Linked DNA regions of Arabidopsis thaliana. The protein of the gene in region 1 interacts with the protein of each later gene in a pairwise test. Each region holds a gene or a part of one and is shown on either strand. Other genes may lie near its edges. The genes, in order: CIPK7 and PUP1.

Region 1 (11,325 bases):
TCTATTAAGAAAACAACATTTGGTGGTTGGGGAAGAAACCAAATCTAATTTTCTAATTGTAGTGCTACTTGAAGAGGGTCCCAAGTCCCAACTTTACTAATCAAATTGCACCTCTTCATTGGTCCAAGTGTGGAGCCTCTAGTGATGTCACGCGTCGAGAAAATAATTGCATAGTTTTCAAGTTATAATAACATGTACTAATACTATAGTCTAAAAATAAATAATATGTGGGTAGAAAGAGACCATTATATGTGGTCCATTGATGCTCTTCTTTTGGCTCGTATTAGTCGCACTCCTGTCGACCACCAAGTGGACCTCTCGCTTCTGTTTGATTTGTGCGGTTGTGTGTATAACCAAACAGAAATTTGAAGCAAGTCTTATTCAATAAGTCGTATAATTGATATGAGACTTATGATACACACGTGTCTTGTTTTAATCTATGTTTCATTATTGGCTAAAACACTAGTCCAACGGTAAATTAGTACTTAGCGTCTAGATTACATTAAGGAGATCAGTATTTTTGTCGTTCCTCATAATCAAAATAACATAAATTGTTTTTCCAACTATTACAAGTTTTCTATACGATGACTTGCGTACCAAGAGTAGTTTATCAATTGTAGTAGGTCAGAAAGTTAAGCTTGAATAGTTTTTTATTCATAATTGTATCTTATTAAAGATGCCAAATATATTTATTTGACTATGTATTTTGATGTGTATTTTTCTAATTTTGATTAGAAAATATATAAAAATTATGTATCTACTTTCGGAAATACAATCGAGGTGACTCATACATGGTTTTAATGCAATAGTCAGCTTATTAAGCGAGTTTGGTCCCTTCGTATAACTTATTGCACTTAATTATATATTGTTGTTGTTGTTGTTGTTGTTGTTTTTTTACCAAAAAATAAAATAAAAAATTATATATTGTTGCTTCTCGTAGAAACTAGTAGAAAGCAAAGACCAAAGTGCCATGATAACGAAATGATTCATAGTCTGTAACATTCTATTTTGACGATACTCGTTCTAAGGAATAAATGAATTTAATTGCATAGCGATGTTTAACGAATATATAATTGTAAAGGAAAAACTAAAAAAGACAAAAATTATTACGAAAACTACTCTTATTGGTGGTGGAGCATACATCCCCCACAGCATCATGCAAGACAACGTAGCTTTCAAAACTTCATACATCGATTTCAAGTATATGTTTTTTCTTTTGTAGATAATTAAATAACAAAGTTGGTGACTCCTATATAGAGAGAAATAATTAACAAGCTTTTAGTTTCAGATGTTATGCTAATATGCTAATGCGAATTACCAGATAACTTACTGAAGATATTACAAAAGTGTATTTGGTTCCATTTTTAATCATATACGTATTATGTAGCAAGTTATTCAATTATTTAGAATTTTTATGGTTTAAGCAAGTAAAATTCCAGTAGTCGGGTCCCATTATGGGAGACTTGAGCTCTCATGCTCACAACATCACCAAAAATGGGAATTCTCAAAAAGAATAAACATCAGCAAAAATGGCATAGCCACTTGGCAAAAGATTATTACAAACTAAAAATTATCTATTTAGCATGCAATGTTTATTCTATTTCTTTTTCTTATTTCAAAATTTGCAGCATTATGATTCACAGATCTAGAATAGAATTGGCCACTTCACAAAGTAATTCCAATTATGAATTAGAAAATCTTATTCATTTCTCTAATATTAAAAAGATTTTGTTAAAAATATATAGGACTCTGCTTTCTTTACCAAATATTTTGTGTATATAATGTATTAATCGAAACACATGGCAAACATACAGGTAGAGCTAATAATATAATCATGTAATATAATATTACTATATCGCTTAGATCTATAATTGGTGGTTCCTTGTTATTTCCGAATATTGTTATTTATATCATGGTGTCGTTTTCATTTTGGGGGTCAAAATCATGTCGTCTTCCACTCGATAATGGATCTCGGAAAATTATTTCTATGAATACTATTTTGGTACTTATTTATATCTTTCGTTTCGGTTTTACCACATCTCTAACATGAAAATAGTTAATTCTTTGACAAAAAAAAATTTTGGTTAATTTAGGGACTGCGAAAAGAGCACGTACCAAAATGTTTTAGATTACAAAAATGGTTGAATTTATGGCCACTATTGAAAAAAATAATTAAAATTCCACAAATCAAGATTTTACGTGAACATTTTGGTTAGGATGTATTAACATACATGTGTACGAAAACCATTTTTAGTCATTTTCAGAAAAATTATGCGTTACGAAATAACTTTATATATCCAATGTAAGAAAATAAAATAAATTTGCCTAACTTGTCCTGTGAATGAATCATTTCAAATGATAATAAAATCCATTTGTTTAATGATGATAATTTATATATCCAATGTACCAATTCATTCATGCGTTACGTTTCACCTTCTTCCACCTTATTTTGATTGCAGATAGAACACCTCTAAACCACATAAAACATATACACACAAAGACTCGACACATAATCGAAATTTTATATAACGAAAAAAAATGTAGAGCTTTAATTTATTATTGAATTTCAAGTTATCGTATGTCTCACGTAATTCGACATATAATTCCATGGGGAGAAATAAGTTTATCACGTCTCTTTGAAAGTTCAATGGTCGTATCGTTTATCTTTTTGTCCCAATAAGCTATCTAACTAATCTAAGTGAATTAAGTCTACTTAAGACAACTCCTACTTAGTTCTCCCCAATTTCTTCAATTAATTAATTTTCCTAATCACATTTCCAACAATTTATGCATGCGTATAAAATACAATTATATATTAATATGTACTAATACAAAATTTTATGATCTAGAACATGTATAAGTTTTCTTTTTTTTTTAGAATATCTAAAAGTTTAAACCCAAAAACTCAAAAACTTTACGTTTTTTAGAGACAGAATCTATACTAAATTAAATTTATTTCTCTAATAGACGTCGAACTCATTATCTCTATATTTGAAAGATTTACCACTGAATCAACATCATATTAGTATTTGTACAATTATATAGAACGATATACATTTTTGCCAACTTTTGAAATTATACTAAATGTCTAACCTTTAAACCAGTTTACTGTACAAATACCTATGTAAAAAGAATTCTGTGTGATATATAATTGTAAATATAATACGCAAAGAGATCGTCAATTTTGAAAAACACTTTAAATAGTAAATATTATATAGAAATTTATCTCCTTAAATTAGATGTCTATATGTTCAGAAAAAATATTGGTATATTTTAAAAATTACAACATGGCATCTGACCTGCTCAGAATTAAAATATTAACTGTAGAAGATATTTTGATACAACATAATCATATATTATTCCACTACCTCCAATAGTCCAAATATATAGCAATAATTTTCTAAAGATACGTATCAAGAATGGTTTAATATGATATCATTGTTACATGCATATGCGTAATTTTTTTCATAGTTAATATATTCTTTGTAATATGGAGCCGACTGATGAATATTGGTGAGTTCTAGTGTGTGACAAAGATGCCATTGTTGACTAGCAAATTCTAAATCTGAGGAGAATAAAATAATTCTAGAAATTGAACTTTTGTTTTTAACACCAAAATCAAAACCAATGGGCCCAATTCTTTGCTGACTTGGCCAAATGAGAGCCGTCCATATGTCAGTCGACAACTGCCAAACAATCTTGACGGTTTGTTAGTTTGGCTCAAAAGCCACCAGTAATCACTGATCAGTTTGGGACTTGAGTAAATGACTTATTTACCCTTAGTTCAATAATACGGTTTTGTGTGATTTAATTTGCTAGTTAAGTTAAACCATATTTAAGGATGGTTTAATTACATTTCAGGTGGAAAAAATTGATGAGAGAATCTAGCTAGAAAAAGATGGACACGTATGGACCGTTGAAAGTAGGAATACAAATTATTTAAGGAATACAATATTTAATTTCAACACCAAGTGTCGAATAGATACAACAATAATAATGATGAACACCAAGATTTATTTTATATTCTCTATTTTGAATATTGATTACTCCAACTTTTTCATGATTTGTTTTTCAGCACTTGAGATTGGAATAGACACACTGTGATATCGACCATAAAATATTTTCTTAGGAATATATCGTTGTGTATAAAGTATAAAGTTAAGTGTAATGCTTTAAACAAGAAAAATAAAAGAGTTGAGATTGTAATCATAGCAAAAGGCTATTTTATAGACCTTTTAGCGGATGGAAAAAAAAAAAAAAAAACACCTTTTAGCTACATGATGTAGCCTACATCATATATAAAAAAGATAATAGAATTATTTAAGAAATGTAATGTGTTATAAATTAATAACCAACACATACACAATAAGATTCATATAAGTTTATGAAATCAAGGTTGTGATATTGTTGTTATTGAGATCCAAAACTTAAAATCCAAAATATCAGAACTTTTGGAGCATTGGATTATATAAAATATATTTTTCTCAATCAAATCTTTTTTTAGTTAACAACTTTAAATTAATCGCAATAGAATTATTCATGAAAAATGTTATTTACATATAACCCAATCCAATGATTTCAAAAGAGATATTATAGAATTTTGTAAAGCATTAAAGATTTAACTACATTTTGTTACATAGACCCATAATCATAAAACCTTTGATTCATAGTTTCATTCTTATAATGGTCTCTTAAGTATGAAGGTGTTGTAGCGGAGACTAGAAATATATATGAGGGTAATGTTTGTCTGTTGAGACACATTTTTACAAGCTATTAAAAAAAATGATTCCAACAATATTTATTGAAAGTAAATGTATTTTATTAGGAGATTTTAAAATTAATGTCATATTCTAAAATGTACAATATATACATTATTTTTTGAAGATTTTACAATAAATTTCAAAGTGAAACTGAAATGATTTTATTAAATTTATATACATAACTCTTTGTGTTTTTTTGACAGTCATATATATAACTCTTAAACACAAGCTTTTACAGAACATCTACAGTTATTTTAGGTGAATAAACACTCCAATTTCAAACAATTTAAATAAATAAATGATAATTATCTGTCAACCCATAAACTTTACATTGTAAGACCATTTTATTTTATTTATTTTGACTATTTATGGATATGTGATATTATTGAGAAAAAAAACACTATTACTAATTGACAGAAAAAATACACTTAATATTTTCTCCTAAATTTTCTCAACGAATTAATTACAAAATAATGTGTATACCAAGTAAAAAGATTCTACTTCTCAGTGACAGCAGAACTAATTTATTCAAGGGTAGTTTCGGAATAATAAAAAAGCAATAAATCTCTTTTTCCTATAAAAGCAAAGAGACACTCACCAAACAACTCGTCCCTGAAACCTCTCTTCAGAAAACTCAGGCACCATTTTCTCCTTCCGCCGCCGCCATGGAATCACTTCCCCAGCCGCAAAACCAATCATCTCCGGCAACAACTCCGGCGAAGATCCTCCTTGGGAAATACGAACTCGGTCGTCGTCTCGGTAGCGGAAGCTTCGCGAAAGTCCATTTAGCTCGATCAATCGAATCCGACGAGCTCGTCGCCGTTAAAATCATCGAGAAGAAGAAAACAATCGAATCCGGTATGGAACCAAGAATAATCAGAGAGATCGATGCGATGCGTCGTCTTCGTCATCATCCAAACATACTCAAGATCCATGAAGTTATGGCAACCAAATCTAAGATCTATCTCGTAATGGAACTCGCTTCCGGTGGTGAACTTTTCTCAAAAGTCCTCCGTCGTGGACGTCTTCCTGAATCAACGGCGCGTCGTTACTTTCAACAACTCGCCTCCGCTCTTCGTTTCTCTCACCAAGACGGTGTCGCTCACCGTGATGTGAAACCTCAGAATCTACTCTTAGATGAGCAAGGTAACCTCAAGGTCTCTGACTTTGGTTTATCAGCTTTACCGGAGCATCTACAAAACGGATTGCTTCACACGGCGTGTGGTACTCCGGCTTATACAGCTCCGGAGGTTATTTCACGGAGGGGATACGACGGAGCAAAAGCTGATGCGTGGTCTTGTGGTGTGATTTTGTTTGTTTTATTGGTTGGCGATGTTCCATTTGATGATTCGAATATCGCTGCGATGTATCGGAAGATTCATCGGAGAGATTATCGGTTTCCGAGCTGGATTTCGAAACAAGCTAAATCGATAATCTATCAGATGTTAGATCCGAATCCAGTAACGAGGATGAGTATTGAAACAGTGATGAAAACGAATTGGTTCAAGAAGTCTCTAGAGACTTCTGAGTTTCATCGTAACGTCTTTGATTCGGAAGTAGAGATGAAATCGAGTGTTAATTCGATTACTGCTTTTGATTTGATCTCGTTATCGTCGGGATTAGATCTTTCTGGATTGTTTGAGGCTAAGAAGAAGAAGGAGAGGAGATTCACGGCGAAGGTTTCGGGTGTTGAAGTGGAGGAGAAGGCGAAGATGATTGGGGAGAAGTTAGGTTATGTAGTGAAGAAGAAGATGATGAAGAAGGAAGGAGAAGTGAAGGTTGTTGGATTAGGGAGAGGAAGAACTGTGATTGTGGTGGAAGCAGTGGAGTTAACGGTGGATGTTGTGGTGGTTGAAGTGAAAGTTGTTGAAGGTGAAGAAGATGATTCACGGTGGTCTGATTTGATTACTGAGCTTGAAGATATAGTTCTTTCATGGCACAATGACATCATGTAAATAGATTGTGACTTTGTGGATTTTAGTCTCTTTTTTGTTTTGTTTCTGTTCAGTTTTGTATAATCCATGAAGAAATCAAAATCTCCCGCTTCATTGTCTTTTTACCAGCAGATACATTACCCTCTCTGCTACCGATTCCATAAGCTTTGATCACTACATGGTACTCAATAATGATTCTCTTATTCGCTCCTTGTCGCTAAGCCCATGGGCTCAACTCAACGCATCTTCAACATCCTCAATATAAAATTCAAAGCCTCAAGAATAGGTGGGGATAATGTATCTTAGACATTTCGTCGAATTGGTGGGTGCTAAAAAAAATTCTTCAGTAAAAGAAAAGGGACGTAAGATAAGGTCCAACAAAAACAAATTATTCATAGGAAGACTTGCCAAGTCAAAAGTCAAGCTCCTCACACTTTTATAAAAACAAGTGAGTTTATGCTCATCACTTACCACAAACAAATTATCTTCCTTTCCCAAAAAAAACGAAATTGAGAGACGATGATTCGAAGCCTATCTTATTGCTTTCTTACCATCTATTTCTTCTTGAGCATTCTTCCATTACCAAACACCATTGCTTGTCCCACACGGTTACTGTGCCGCAGCGACCAAAGAGATGCTCTTTTAGAGGTACAAAAGGAGTTACATGTACCAACAACTACATGGAACAAGAACGTTGACTGTTGTTCTTGGGATGGTGTCACATGTGATGCTATATTGGGAGAGGTGATATCACTACAACTCTATTATAGTACTGCTAACATCTTCGTGAGCTAGTGCTTTCACGTTGCAAACTTCAAGGGGAAATTCCTTCTTCCATTGGAAATCTTTCTCATCTCACATATCTTGATCTTTCGAATAATCAATTAGTAGGTGAAGTTCCCGCTTCAATCGGTAACCTAAACCAACTAGAGTCCATGCGTCTTTGGGATAATGATCTAAAAGGTAATATTCCTACTTCATTTGCCAACTTAACAAAGCTTTCTGAATTGTACCTCTTTGGAAATCAGTTCACGGGTGGGGATACAGTATTAGCCAATTTAACCAGCTTGTCCATTATAGACCTCTCCTTAAATTACTTCAAATCCTCCATTTCCGCTGACCTTAGTGGACTTCACAACTTAGAGCGATTTTCGGTGTATAACAACTCATTTTCCGGACCTTTTCCTTTATCATTGCTCATGATTCCTTCTTTAGTCCATATTGATTTAAGCCAAAACCACTTCGAGGGACCTATTGATTTTAGGAATACCTTTTCATTATCTAGGCTAAGAGTGTTATATGTTGGCTTCAACAATTTAGATGGGCTAATTCCAGAATCTATATCTAAATTAGTCAATCTCGAATATTTAGATGTTAGCCACAACAATTTCGGAGGACAAGTCCCTAGATCAATATCTAAAGTAGTCAACCTCACTAGCGTTGACCTTTCCTATAATAAGTTGGAAGGTCAAGTCCCTGATTTTGTATGGAGATCCTCAAAGTTGGATTATGTGGATCTTTCTTATAATTCTTTCAACTGCTTCGCCAAATCAGTGGAAGTTATCGATGGAGCATCATTAACTATGTTAAATCTTGGTTCAAATTCAGTCGACGGACCATTCCCCAAATGGATATGCAAGGTTAAAGATTTATACGCCTTGGATTTGTCCAACAACCATTTTAATGGTTCCATTCCTCAATGTTTGAAGTATTCCACTTATTTTCATACGTTAAATCTGAGAAACAACAGTCTAAGTGGGGTTCTACCAAATTTATTCATTAAGGACTCTCAGTTGCGATCACTTGACGTTAGCAGCAATAATTTGGTGGGTAAACTTCCAAAATCGTTGATCAACTGCGAGAGGATTGAATTTTTGAATGTGAAAGGAAACAAAATCATGGACACGTTTCCATTTTGGTTGGGATCTCTACCATATTTAAAAGTTCTTATGCTCGGATCAAATGCATTTTATGGTCCCGTCTATAACCCCTCCGCATATTTGGGGTTTCCAAGTATAAGGATCATTGATATATCCAATAACAACTTTGTTGGATCATTGCCACAAGACTATTTTGCCAATTGGCTTGAAATGTCTTTGGTGTGGAGTGGTTCGGACATCCCACAGTTTAAATATATGGGAAACGTTAATTTTAGTACGTATGATTCGATCGATTTGGTGTACAAAGGAGTAGAGACGGATTTTGATCGTATCTTTGAAGGTTTCAATGCTATTGATTTTTCTGGAAACCGATTCTCCGGACATATCCCTGGGTCTATTGGTCTACTGAGCGAACTGCGTCTTCTGAACTTGTCAGGCAATGCATTCACAGGCAATATCCCACCATCCTTGGCGAATATCACAAATCTCGAGTCATTAGACCTATCACGAAATAACTTGTCTGGTGAGATTCCTATAAGTCTTGGAAAACTCTCGTTTTTGTCCAACACCAACTTCTCCTACAATCATCTTGAAGGATTGATTCCACAAAGTACACAGTTTGCAACTCAAAATTGTTCTTCGTTCCTGGGTAATCTTGGACTCTATGGTTTCAGGGAAATTTGTGGAGAAAGCCATCATGTGCCCGTTCCTACTACATCTCAGCAACCCGAGGAACCTTTGTCGGAATCGGAAGACCAATTGCTGAACTGGATAGCAGCTGCGATAGCGTTTGGACCTGGTATGTTTTGTGGATTAGTGATCGGACATATCTTCACTTCATAGTTCATACAAACATGAGTGGTTCATAGCTCGTTAAGCCCATCTCTCTCCCGGTCAAGTTTGTACTACGGTAACTAAGCTCGCTAGTTGTTTTTTCTGTCCTTGTAATTTCCCATTTAGTGGTTGCATTATAATTTATAAACAGTGTCGACGTTATAAGCTGTTATGTTCTCACCATAGTGTGTAACGTGGTCCATGTTTGTATAGTTGCATATGTATCTCTATTATAAATCTTTAATAACATGTCTTGAAATTCATGTTTAATACTATGTCCCATAGCCATCCATTTATCTTTGTGGAAATAGTTTGTCGGCCACAATGTTATTGCCCATACCAGACTTACTAAGAAAGAAGATAAACCTTGACGAGTGGCTTTGCTCTTTCTTCACCTCATGATGACCTATTCTTATAAATTGTGACGTGTGGATTTTAGCTTCTTTATTTTCTTTTTATGTTTTCGTCTGTTCAATTTTGTATAATCATGAAGAAATCATATCTCCCGCGTCATAGTCATTTTAAAGGTTTTTATATACATAGAGACACAGCTAAAAATCTACCAAAACTTTTCAACACTAAAGCTCGTCGACACAATCTCCAATCCCAACAAGAGATGAGAGAGTTGAGATCCATAGCTCTAATCCTCGCTTGATCTCTTTTTTCCTAATTTCTTCGATCTTACGAACAGCTTTTTTCGACATCCCAAGTTTCATCAGAATGGTTCCTAGTGATTTGAACGTTGAGTCATCAGGTTGAATTCCAGATGACACCATCTCTTTGAATGTCTCAACAGCTTCTTTGAATCTCCCGTCTAAAGCGAATAAGCCGAGAACGCTGTTGTAGCTCAACGGATCAGTTAGAATCTTCATCTCTCTCATCTGTTTTGCTATCTGAGTCGCTTCTTCAAACCGACCGTTCTTCTTGTACATACATAACATCATCGCAAAGGTAAACTCGTTTGCTTCTCCTCTCTGTTTCATGCTATCGAATATAGCTTCTGCTTTTCTCACCATCGATCTTTCGCTATACAGGTTGATCATACAGTTTGATGTATATACATCCGGATATTGCGTCTTGTTACACGATTGAAGAAGCTTTCTGTATATTGCTTCAGCTTCATCTAAGTACCCGACTTTGGTGTAGAGCTTAATCAGAGAATTGTATATAACAGAGTTTCCCGGGATTCCAGCTTCTTTCATCGCTTCTACGTAACTCATAGCTTGCTGAACATTTCCAGTATCTGCAAAAGCATTGATCAAGACTCCATATACAACAACATCAGGTTCGATATTGTACTCAACCATCTCTTTATACACTTCCTCTGCCATATTGAGCTGACCGAGTTTCACAAAGCTCGATATCACAGCACAGTATGGTATGCAATCGCTCACATATCCCGTCTCTCTCATTTTCTCCAAGTAGCATCTACCTTTATGAGGCATGTCGGCACTCGCAAGGATCTGGACGAGAGTATTATATGTACACTTATCCGGTGTGACCCCATAACTCATCATGCTCTCAAATAACTCACATGCCTTTTCACAGCTTTTACTAATTCCATACGCTTTGATCATTACATTGTACTCAATAACTGTTCTCTTATTCACTTCTTGGCAGCAGATAAACACTCTCTCAGCTTCTGATAAATATCCACGCTCACCATATGCATCGATGTTGGCTGAATAGCCTTCAGAACTCATATTACCCGCAACATGAAACCTTTTGAACCATGACCATGATTTCTCAAGCATCTCTGCTTCTACATACATTCTAGTGAGAGCAGATTGTGTATACTCATCTATCTCAACATTATCATCATCCATCTCAGCTATAAGCCCTTCAGCTTCCTCAACCATATGTCTAATCGAGAATGCATATAGGAGAGTGCGGTAACTTACAGGATCCGGTTTAAGC
Region 2 (12,313 bases), on another chromosome or scaffold:
AAAACGAAATACATTATTAATTTCCAAAAATAATAACCAATCAAAATTAACATATAAGATTTGATATATAAATTTCAATTAATTTAATTTAATTAGAAAAAACAAAATACATTATTAATTTCCGAAAAAGTAACCAATTAAAATCAACAAAGTAGATTTGATATCTAAATTATCATATTAATTTTTTATTAATTATTATAGTTCACTTCTCATCTTTATATGATTCTATTTTTTTGAAAAAATAAAATCATCATTATAAAAAAAGAATTAGATTTTTCGCATATGCCATAATTTGAATTTTTAAAAACGAATATAAATTGTTCAATACATGAAAAAATATTATAACGGGTGAAAAATAGATTTAAAAAAACTTTCTACTGAGTAACATGTCATAATTTGAAATATTTATATTCAATTTCATACATATTATATTGAAAATTTATAATCTTATATACTACAATAATTAATAACATATTAGATTTTTTTATGTGTATGATGTGATTCAATTTTTAATACAAGGTGGAAAATCCTATAATTTACGGGTTTAGATCGATATTAATACAAGATGGTATACTACAGGTAAAACTCTTAAATTAACAATCAAACTATAAATGTATAATCTTAAACACTAAACAATATAGATAATATCAACAAAACATATACAACTCACAGTTTACTATACATTTATAATCAAATAAAATAATATCAAATATTTTTAAATCATCTTTACAGTAAAAGTTTTTAGTTTAACTAAAATATAAGCGTACATGCGGTATACTGCAGGTTAATATCTAGATTATAGGGCTTATTGGATCTAAAAACGGGTCATCAAAGATTTCCTAAACTGAAGCAAAATATTCTGAATATTCGAATATCTATCTGTTACCAAATTATAAACAAATAAGTTCGTAAAACAATTTAATAATTTTATATACGAAATCAATTAAATCTTAATCACATAAAAATTAGCACAAAAAAAATATTCAACAATTAAAAAATTATCAAATCTCTGTGTTATATAAGTTTTGATACTATATTTGAATAAAGTGTAATATACCTTTTTAATTTGTATTCTTTAACTAATAAAAACTAACTAATATATTTGCTAATCTTATACCTATCAAAACCGACTATCGTTTATTATCTCTATAATATTTTTACAAGACTTTTTTTTGGTGGATTTAAGTAAAAGTGCATTCGGGTTATAAGGTACATTCCCGTAATAAATAAATATAGTGCACTCCTATGTTATTAGCTAAAATGTTTAGATTATAATTCATAGTCATATCATTAATAAAATAAATGGCTTTTTTGTAAGACGGATTTGGAGGGACGGGTTTTTGAATAAACATTAATAAAAAAGTAAAATATAATTAATCCACCGTTTCAATACGGGTTAAATCTTTAATTTATTATTTTTTAAGACCACTGATATTAAACATATCAAATCATCCAAATTTAGAAAAGATTATATAAAACCAAAAATGTTATGTGGTATGTATAATGTTACTATATATAAAATTAAATTATAAAATATAAATGTATTAGAGAATGATACAATTTGCAAAACTTTTATATATAAAAAATAATTCTTAAAATTTTAAAATTACTACTTTAAAATTATCACGGGACGGGTAAAGAAATTACAGAACAGATTTTATTTTGGAATTGGGTTATATGGTGGATGTATTTGAATCAATATTTAAAAAATTTTAAAATATTATTAATATGCTGTTTTAATAGGGGTTAAAACTTCAGTTTTTTAACAATTGTCTCATTGATTCGTGATATAGCGTTACTTAACAACAATTATAAACTGTAAAATGTAAATATTTTATAAAAATAAAATTTGCAACTTTTAATATATATTACTTTTACAAAATAAATCGTTCCGCGGTATACCGCGGGTTAAAATCTAATTTGTTGATGTATTTAGTATCCTAGCGGGTAGAAACCTTGTTAAATATAGTGGTGTAGAAACCATAAATTGAATCACTTCTTTCAAGCCAACGACTGACTACGCGAGTTCAACAATGGAGCTATAAAAACAAAACAACTAGTTGCAACAAATAATAATCAAGTCTACAAACAAAATAGCTTAAGTCAGCATTCCATGTATTAAAGCATATGACAAAATGATTGATTACAATAGTCCGTAAACGAAGACAAATGGATACTAAAGATAAATTTCTAATCAAGATAACTTTTCTATAACAATATCCTCATCTAAAGATAAAACCAAGTATAAAGATATTTCTCTTAAATCACGTCTGTTTTTTCTTCTCGAAATTTTGTTTTCTTGCTTTTTATACACACAACGAAAATTTAGCGTAACACAGAGAGACGATTTGTTTTTTTCTATCTCCACAATTCAACTCTTTCTTTTGTCATACTCAATGTATGTAGAGCAGAAAATAACACGTCTCTTTTTTTATCACGATAAAACAAAGGACCATCCTTAGTTGGAAATTCAAACCCTAGTAGTAAGTATAACGTTTTAAAATCGCAAACGCGCCCGCTATGTTATGTCCCACCGTTTTAATTTCCCAACTTCCTTGACAATGTATCACACGATCCAAAACCACAAACAAACAAAACACACACAAAATGAAAAACATATAATTGCTCATTGACCCCTCAAGCTGATGAGAAATATCATCAAAAAGGCCAAAACAGAGGACAACAAAAACAGCAAGCAGCAAGAAGAAGATGAAGAATGGTTTGATAATCATAAACTGTATTATCCTCACTATAGGAACATGTGGAGGTCCTTTGTTAACTCGTCTCTACTTCACCAATGGCGGAAAACGAATCTGGTTCATGAGCTTCCTATCAACCGCTGGTTTTCCAATCATCCTCATCCCTCTCTTGGTCTCCTTCCTCAGCCGTCGCCGCAGCAACCGCAACCCTAACAACGCGGAAAACAAGCGGAAAACAAAGCTCTTCCTCATGGAAACTCCTCTGTTTATCGCCTCCATTGTCATAGGGTTGCTCACAGGACTTGACAACTACTTATATTCTTACGGATTAGCATATCTGCCAGTTTCAACTTCATCGCTCATAATCGGAACTCAACTAGCTTTCAACGCTCTCTTCGCTTTCTTGTTAGTCAAGCAAAAGTTCACTCCGTTCTCCATAAACGCCGTCGTTTTGTTGACGGTTGGTATCGGGATCCTTGCGTTACACAGTGATGGAGACAAACCGGCTAAGGAGAGCAAGAAAGAGTATGTGGTTGGGTTCTTGATGACTGTGGTTGCAGCTCTTCTCTATGCTTTTATATTACCGCTCGTTGAGCTAACTTACAAGAAAGCTCGTCAAGAAATCACTTTCCCACTTGTGCTTGAGATTCAGATGGTCATGTGCCTTGCTGCTACTTTTTTCTGTGTCATTGGCATGTTCATCGTTGGAGATTTTAAGGTAAGAAATTTACAGTTTTTTTCACGTTGTGTTTTTAGTATAAGAGAGAGTATCATGGGATGATCTTGATAAAAAAAATATTATGCAGATTTTGATGAAGACTTTAGCTGAGTTTTTGGATTCTCTATTTTTAATGTTTTTCTAAATTATATAGTTTTTTTGTTCATTTTATGATAGAGGCCAAAATTTAGTCTGGATTCCCAAGAAATGAGGAATACTAAGATTTGTTCTTTTGTATTATTAATGGAGAAAATCCATGGAAACAATTATATATATAGAAATTATTTCAGAATCATTGGTACTAGACTATACTAGTCAACCAAGATATATTGGTATCTGTATTTAAACATTTTCTAAATACATATGGATATTATAGAATATTTAACAATTTTAATATAGATTTCCTGGTTATAATAAAATATGTGATTTTATGTAATATTTGTCTTCCTGATCTTTTATTAAAAACAAATATTATATAAAATACAAGATAAAGGTTTGAGCAATTTATAAAATATTTAACAATTTCAATAAGGTTTTATGTAATACTAGGTAATCACCCGCGCTACGCTGCGGTATTTTCAGATTTTTTGTATCGTATAATTTAAATATAATTTTTAATTATCTAATCATTTACTTATGTAATAAGTAATTATTCTTAGTATTAAAATATATTTTTTCTAACAACATTCTCAACAATGCATTATACACACAATTCCTAAACAATGTTCATCTTAAACTAATTAAATAGAGGGTAATACTGGAATTCTCGAAACCTAAGAATTTGATGATTAAATTTCTTACATACTCTTCACCCTCGGCGATTTATTATATAGATATATAACAATATGCAAACTATTCAAACTATTAACTAATCCATGACTACTATACACTCATAATTTGAGTTAAGATTACAGAAAAAAATCTTCTGAGTATGAGAAAACCAATAAAATTATTTTATTGAACAACATGTAATAACAAAATAAATTTAGTATTAGTACAATTAAATATGTAAAATTAAATAATAAATACATCATTAATCTATAAATTAAAAGTTGAAAGCTTACATTAATTATTATGTGGACACATGGCACATGTTAAAGTGATGATGTGTCAATCATATGGAGAGAGTTGGCCAACTTTCATATATATGATTTGTCTTCCTTATCTTTTATTAGAAACATTATTTAAAAATTGTTCAAACCTTTATCCTGTATTTCCATATCTATTTAAAATTATGATTAAACTTGAGAATCAACTAAAATCATCATCATACATGTTTTGTAGGTGATAGCAAGAGAAGCAAGAGAGTTCAAGATTGGAGGATCAGTGTTTTACTATGCATTGATAGTGATCACAGGAATAATATGGCAAGGTTTCTTCTTAGGAGCCATAGGGATTGTGTTTTGTGCATCATCACTAGCTTCTGGTGTTCTGATAAGTGTTCTGCTTCCGGTGACTGAAGTTTTCGCCGTCGTTTGTTTCCGGGAGAAGTTTCAGGCAGAGAAAGGTGTCTCTCTACTTCTTTCTCTTTGGGGATTTGTCTCTTACTTCTACGGCGAGTTTAAATCCGGCAAGAAAGTTGTTGATAAACCTCAACCGCCGGAGACAGAACTGCCTATTCTTCCTGTTAGTGATTATGTTGCTTAATTTCTATAACTCTATAGGATTATAACAGAGCATTACTGTTATGTTTTGTTCCTAATATTATGTGTGATTGTGTGTTTTGTTATTGTTCTTGTGTATAAGTATGAATAAATTTGAAAGATATTGAGCTATTTGATAAATGCAAATTTTAATACACTTGTAGTAGAAATAGAATGATAATGATAAGTAAAAGATAGGATATTTCGTATTTGATAAAATCACATCCTATTTATCGATTTTATAAAATAAACATTTCACACTTTTAATTTAAGATTAATATAATTTATCTATTTAATATAAAAATTTGTATATAAATCAAAGAACTAATATAGAAAGAAGAAGAGAAAACAAAAGAGATAGAGTCAAAGAACCAATTAACCATCCTTAAAATCTTCTAATTATAGAGAGAATTATGAACTGAAAATCTTAATGTCATTGCACTAAATTTAGAAAGAAATAAATCCAATAATCAAAACTGTAGAATTTGATGGAAACGTAAATTAATATGAGAGATATGATATTATCTGGTCTATAAGATAATTACTACGTTTTTTATACGAAATTAAACAGTTAGCAAAATTTATGGGTATAAAATAGGAAAAGTCATGTTTTAGCCATTGAAGCCTCGTTAGGTAAAAAGAAACACAAAGATCTATCACGACAGAATCTAAAACCGGACCAAATTTGTTCCAAAACACAGCAACACCAAACCTTATAACTAACTCCTTCGACCACCAACCTTCATTATCCACAAGAAATCAGACAAGAATGGTGAAGGCTCTTGTGATCATAAACTGCATAATTCTAGCCATAGGAAACTGTGGAGGTCCTTTGATTATGCGTCTCTACTTCAACAATGGCGGTAAAAGGATTTGGTTCTCTACGTTTCTTGAAACTGCAGGCTTTCCTGTTATCTTCATTCCTCTGCTCTTCTCTTACATTACCCGGCGCAGAAGCAACAATGTGGGTGATAGTACAAGTTTCTTTCTTATCAAACCGCGTCTTCTTATCGCCGCTGTTATTGTAGGCATTCTCTCAGGGTTTGATAACTACTTGTATGCATATGGTATAGCTTATCTTCCAGTTTCTACAGCTGCTCTTATCATTGCTTCACAGTTAGCTTTTATAGCTATCTTCTCATTCTTCATGGTTAAACATAAGTTCACTCCTTTTACCATCAATGCTGTTGTGTTGTTGACTGTTGGTGCTGCGGTTTTGGGAATGCATACCGAAACTGATAAGCCAGTTCATGAGACTCACAAGCAGTACATAACTGGTTTCTTGATTACTGTAGCAGCAGCTGTTATGTATGCTTTCATCTTGCCATTAGTGGAACTTGCTTACCAGAAAGCTAAGCAAACCATGAGCTATACCCTTGTGCTCGAGTTCCAGTTGATTTTGTGTCTCCTTGCTTCTATTGTCAGCGTCATCGGTATGTTCATCGCTGGTGATTTCAAGGTTAGTCACTCTTTTGAATCTGAAAACATACAAAAGAGTTTTTAACAGAGACTTGAGCCCTTTACTGTTTTTGCAGGCCTTACCAAAAGAAGCAAGAGAGTTCAAGCTTGGAGAGGCATTGTTCTATGTGGTGGCTGTGTTTTCAGCCATCATATGGCAAGGCTTCTTCTTGGGAGCCATTGGATTAATCTTCTCCACATCGTCTCTCGTCTCGGGTATTATGATATCAGTGCTTTTGCCAATTACAGAGGTTTTAGCTGTTATATTCTACCATGAAAAGTTTCAAGCTGAGAAGGGACTTTCTCTTGCTCTCTCCCTTTGGGGCTTTGTCTCTTACTTTTATGGTGAGATAAAGTCTGGCGAGGATAAAAGGAGAATTCAGCAGGAGGAGAGTCAGGAGACAGAACAATCTTCTTTGTCAAGACCCATAAGTGAGTGTTAAAACTCAACGAAGCATGGCTTTTCGTTTAAAGACATCATAGCACTCATTTCTCCGCCAAGTAGATTAGAAGATATGTTTGAGAAACTTGTGGGATTATGCCGAAAACACAATCTTAAAGGACTTTTTTTTTTCTTTTCTTTATTTCAGCTTAACTTGTTTGATGTCTCTTATTATTCACATCAAATGAGTTTGTAATAGAATTATGAGGTCAAACAATGACACTCTCTGTTATGCTGGTGAGCTTTTTGTTCTACCAGCAATAGATGAAATTAGTCTTCATTTGTCTTCTGTTGAATGCTTTTATCTTTCATCTCTCGTGGTGGCTTCATCCCATTAACCTGCTCAACAATAGCGCCAGCAGCACCATTAACGAGAAGTCGCGGATGATCTGAGGACCCGTTAGATTCCACCTGTAAGTTCAACCAGTAGAGAGCTTCTGGTAAAGCCTGTTTGGTTCATATTCATGATTCTTCATTACTATAAGGAACAATCGCTAGTGAGGAAATAACATTCAGTTGAATCAAAATGTAAAGAAAAAGCCCCAACAGACATTTTGGCTTTCTTACACTGTTTCCCTTAGAGCTTCTAGTTATTTCTTATAAGAGAACCTAGGTATCTCATTTTTCAATTATGTCTTGTTGTTATCTACATATCCGCCTTTTCTAACTCTTATTTCTAAGCAGGCCTAGAAAATGTACCAGTAATGTATAAGCATCACTAATTCTTCTATTGTAACCAACTACATTCCTTTGAGGTGAATTATACCAGATGTCCATTTACGTCTAACCATCTAATATTACACACAATATGCTGTTATAAACACAATAATAAAATTTACTTACCAACTTCCTTCAGCAGAGTCGCTCAACTCATTGTTGATTTCTTCCTTTGCAAACTCTTCCAGTATAGCACGCTGACGTTCATTCACTTCACTAGTAGATACAAGGAAAAAAGTAAACCGCATAAGCATATACCAGAAATCTATCAATATTAGCTCTTGACGGAAATGAAAAGAAGAGAATCCAACACATCCACATGCCACCAGAACATCAAGAAGCTTATGTAATCAGATTTAATAATCAGACGGCAGGGAAATTAACACAATGTTGTCCTAGGAAAATTATTTCAAAAACCGTAACTTTAGAGCAACAAAGTGTCTTTTCCATTCTAAACACTAGTAGAGTTTTTAGCATAGCATAATGTGGATGTCTCCAACAAGTGTATTACTTGAACTTCAAGTAAAAGAAATCTTACGTAGGAAAGTTAACGCGGAAGCGAACATACTGATCTCCATGATCTACAAAAAAGCCTTGCTTCGGTAGTCCTGCAGGAACTAACCTATTAAGAAGAGTACACGCAAATACACAAAAAAAATTGAACATATAGGCTGATAATTATATGTACCTTTGCCTCTTAAAACAAGAAGTTGATCAGGCTGAGTCCCCTTTGGTATCTGCAACAATTACAATAAGGTACCTCTATTATCTCCAAAGCCTTGAGATCTAACCTTCCTCTTGGTCAGAGGATGAAAACCAACTTGACTCAAATTATAAACAAACAAAATATTATATGAATCTCACTGGGAGACGAATCTTACATCTAGCTGTATCTTGCCTGAAAGTGTTGGCACCACAACTTTGCCCCCCAAAATAGCCTGTCAAATAAGTTTTCTAAGACATGTCCAGTATGGCTCAAGGGAGAAATAGTAGGAACAACGTGAACCATAAGAGATGAAAGGATGCACTATAATAGAAAAATACTGCAGCCGAGGTACTATGGCTTGGTGGCAAAATAGTGCAGTAGCATGCACTTGAGTTTTATGACTGGGGCCATCAAATTGAGTTTGAACCGATATGCCACATTATCTAGTTTAGAGAATAAGCGCATCATATACATAATGATAAAGATGCTACTAGCTAATATTATTAAACCTAGTAGTTTAGTAAACTTTTGGCACATAAACCAGTTGAATAGGACAAAACTCATTAATTTTCAGCTAGACTCCAGATAACTTTTCTCTAGTTTATGTCCTCTAAGAGGTTTTATTTTATCATAGGACATGCCTAAATTATGTTACTGCAGAGCTTTATCAGCTAGCAGTTAAGGCTTTTGAGTTTTGACCACAAAGTGTCACCATGCAGAAAAAACATGAGTTTCGAAGGTACTGCTCTGCTTATAACCCAAAATTCAGGATTCACCAGTGTGCTTACTTGTGTAAAGCTAATATTAGCATCCACATATATATCTGAGCCATCCCTAGTGAAAGTTGAATCATTAGCAACCTGTGACCAAAAGAAGATTAGATACGTGTCAATAAAGGAAAATTCAGCATGCAGTAAGACCCTAAATGAGGCAAGAATGATGATAGAATTGAAGAATACTTTACAAGAGAGCATGAACAATTGATTCACTGGATGTAATAAGTCTTGATTATATAGTGACGCAACAAACAAAGTAGAGTAGCAATCACATATAAATCTGTGAACATTGGTTTAGATCATTTTTGAAATGAATTCGTTCAAAGTCAATATATGACTTATAACATGACTTTGCCACTTATATTAACTGTTTTATCTCTTAGGTTAAATTGATCAATGGACTTAAATGGTAGACCAATCATCAACGTCAAGGGTGAGTTTGATTCAAACTTCTCTAGGCACGTCTTACAAAATATACAAGTACAAATTTGAAGAAAATACAGATGCTTTAACAAACCTTTAGTTTGATATACAAGTTCCCAGGTTGACTTGTTCTTGAACTTACATTACCAGCACCTACGATTGTGATTGTAGCTTCAGACTCCACCCCTGTGGTCAAGTACAGAGAGAAGAAAGCAAATTAAAGTTTGACAGAATTTTGTCATCAAAAACCTATTTCACTATCTAATCCACCAAAGTCATGTAAGATGATAATCGGAAATCACAATCCCAAATTCATTGTTTCATCTTTGCCCCAAAATACCAAGCACAGAATTAACCAGAAAATGTAAATTGCCAAGCATAATCTTAGAAAAGAAAAAGAAAAGCCAGTCAAACAATAAGTGTGACCGATATCTAAATTGGATTACATCTAAACCACACAAATCCTCAAAGAAAGGAACGTAACAGAGTGAATGAAATCTTGCTACTCGTTCCATAGCAGACAGACATGTTTGGAATCAAAACCAAGTTAAAGATAAACAAAAGCATGAAGATTTAGACTAACCTCCAGGGATCACAAGTTCAGCTGTCTTTGTGCCTTCCACAATACCTGATCCTCTACAAGACATGCAGTATTCCTGAAGAAATAAACACATATATACTCGTAACCAGTGCCAGAGAGATAACTACTGAAGCGTCAATAAAGTAGCTCTTTTTCTCAAACCTTAATAATGTGTCCCGTCCCCTTGCACGTCTGGCATGATGCTGTAAAAGGAGGAATAGTTACCTGTTAAAGAGACAGACAGCATAGTACTGTAAATAGAAATTGTATGATTTATTAACCCTCCAAAGAAAATAAAACTTATATCCTCTAAATGGTACTTACTCGTCCAACCCCCCTGCATGTTGGACAAATGCTCATGGCAGCATCGCTAGGGTGGCCAAGCCCATCTGTAAAATGATAAACAATGCGAGATTGGGATTCATGGTTTTGCAACAATATTACTTTCACCCAACTGAGTTTACTCGTCCTCTCAAAGTTGGCTGAATCAGTAACTTTTTAAAGACAGAAGGCTGTAAATGTTACAAGAATAAAATTAAAAAAAGAAAAAAAAAAAAGAGACAACAAACTGTAGATACATGTACATTAACATCGATGGATCACAGAGCCATTTCCAGAAGTCTATTCTTCGTTAAGAAAAATATTTTACCATTTTGGGCAACTGAATAATAATGTACCATGACGAGTTAGGACTCCTAATTTAAAGTGTCTATACTCTCAAGTATCTTTACAGGAAATCTTGCGAGCCATGACTGGCTTGTCAATATTAGTAAATGCAAAAGAGACAATATAAGAAAACTTCTGTGGCCACTCACCACAGGAATCACAAAAGACATATGCATCAAAAGACAAACGTTTTGTGCACCCTTCTGCAGCTTCGGAAAGAGAAAGCGACAGTTCCACCTATTCAATTTTTAACAATATAAACATGTGTATTACTGAAGAGCCCTACACAACAAGATTTATATAAGTCAACCAGATTCCAGTTGTATAAATAAAAGAGAGAATCAGAGAAACTGACCCGAATATCAGGTTTTATCTGATTGTTCTCAAATATCTGAATAAAGTTTACTAATGTTAGAGATTTAACTAATCACATAAAAAGATGAGCAAAAGGGAAACATAATAATGTACCTCAGAAAAAATCTTGTGGAAAGTATCCGAGAAATTGGACTGGTATGCACGTCTGAACCTCTCTGAATCACCACCGTCATTATTTACATAATCCGAATTCCGATACTGCAGCTGGATCGAGTGATAACATCAAGAAATATATTTAGTGATCTCGCCACCAGATAAATAAGAATAAAAACAACAAAAAAGCGTACCTTATCATATTCTTCTCTTCTTTCCGAATTTCCCAGGGTCTACAGTTTTTTAATCCAACACAAAAGTATATCAGAAGATACATTCAAAATACACAGATGATGGCAGATGGAAAAGAAAAAACTACCTCATATGCCTCTCTTATTTCCTGGAACTTCCTTTTTGCTGACGGATTATTTCTATTTGTATCAGGGTGGAATTTTTTCGCAAGCTGCAACAATTGTGCATTCACTCATCAATTTTGAGCAGACAACTTTTACTAATAGTTTTTGCTTGATGTAAAAAAATGTTTAAAGCTGAAGAACAGTCCACTAACAATGAGCCGAAAGACTCACCTCATGAAATGATTTTTTAATCTCCTCCCGTGTAGCTTTAGGAGAAACACCGAGAACATCATAGTAATTACGAGCACTGGAGTTGTTTATACCTGAGAACCATTATCCAAAACCAAAAGCATTTAATGAATAAAATGATACAAAACATCATTTTATTCATTAGCGTGAATGCAAAAAAACAAGACCTGTAGCGTGAATGTATCGCTCGAACAACGGCTTCTGAGACCCTGCAAAGAGTCAAAACTTCCAAGTAATGAATGCATATTTCCTATAGTCTGTAGATAAACACAAACATCAACTGGAAATTCCCTCATGCCCCTAATGTTAGCTACCACGGAGACCTCGAGATTACATTTCGATTCTTTAAAATCAACTCTTGAGTTACCTTTAATAGTGCCCAATACTTTGATACCCCTTCCTGATAAACCCTAAAACCCCATTTCAGCTAAAATTATCACTACATTAGAAATTCTAATAAACCCCAAAAAAC

Evidence for each region.
Region 2: the proteins of CIPK7 (region 1) and PUP1 interact in a protein complementation assay, tested with the Arabidopsis thaliana proteins (one large-scale study listed by BioGRID).

The regions. Positions count from the first base shown.
Region 1 is NC_003074.8:8,167,229-8,178,553, forward strand, and holds CIPK7 (CBL-interacting protein kinase 7), read left to right. Parts: upstream 1-5,250; 5' UTR 5,251-5,425; coding exon 5,426-6,715; 3' UTR 6,716-6,914; downstream 6,915-11,325. Other genes in the region: RLP36 (receptor like protein 36), read left to right, coding at 7,630-9,417; AT3G23020 (Tetratricopeptide repeat (TPR)-like superfamily protein), read right to left, coding at 9,987-11,325. UniProt on the Arabidopsis thaliana protein: CIPK serine-threonine protein kinases interact with CBL proteins. Binding of a CBL protein to the regulatory NAF domain of CIPK protein lead to the activation of the kinase in a calcium-dependent manner.
Region 2 is NC_003070.9:9,854,951-9,867,263, reverse strand, and holds PUP1 (purine permease 1), read left to right. Parts: upstream 1-2,484; 5' UTR 2,485-2,709; coding exon 2,710-3,417; intron 3,418-4,701; coding exon 4,702-5,064; 3' UTR 5,065-5,223; downstream 5,224-12,313. Other genes in the region: PUP3 (purine permease 3), read left to right, coding at 5,830-6,519, 6,596-6,961; ATJ1 (DNAJ heat shock family protein), read right to left, coding at 7,287-7,371, 7,804-7,893, 8,216-8,285, 8,366-8,414, 8,559-8,615, 9,172-9,243, 9,677-9,768, 10,166-10,238 and 9 more.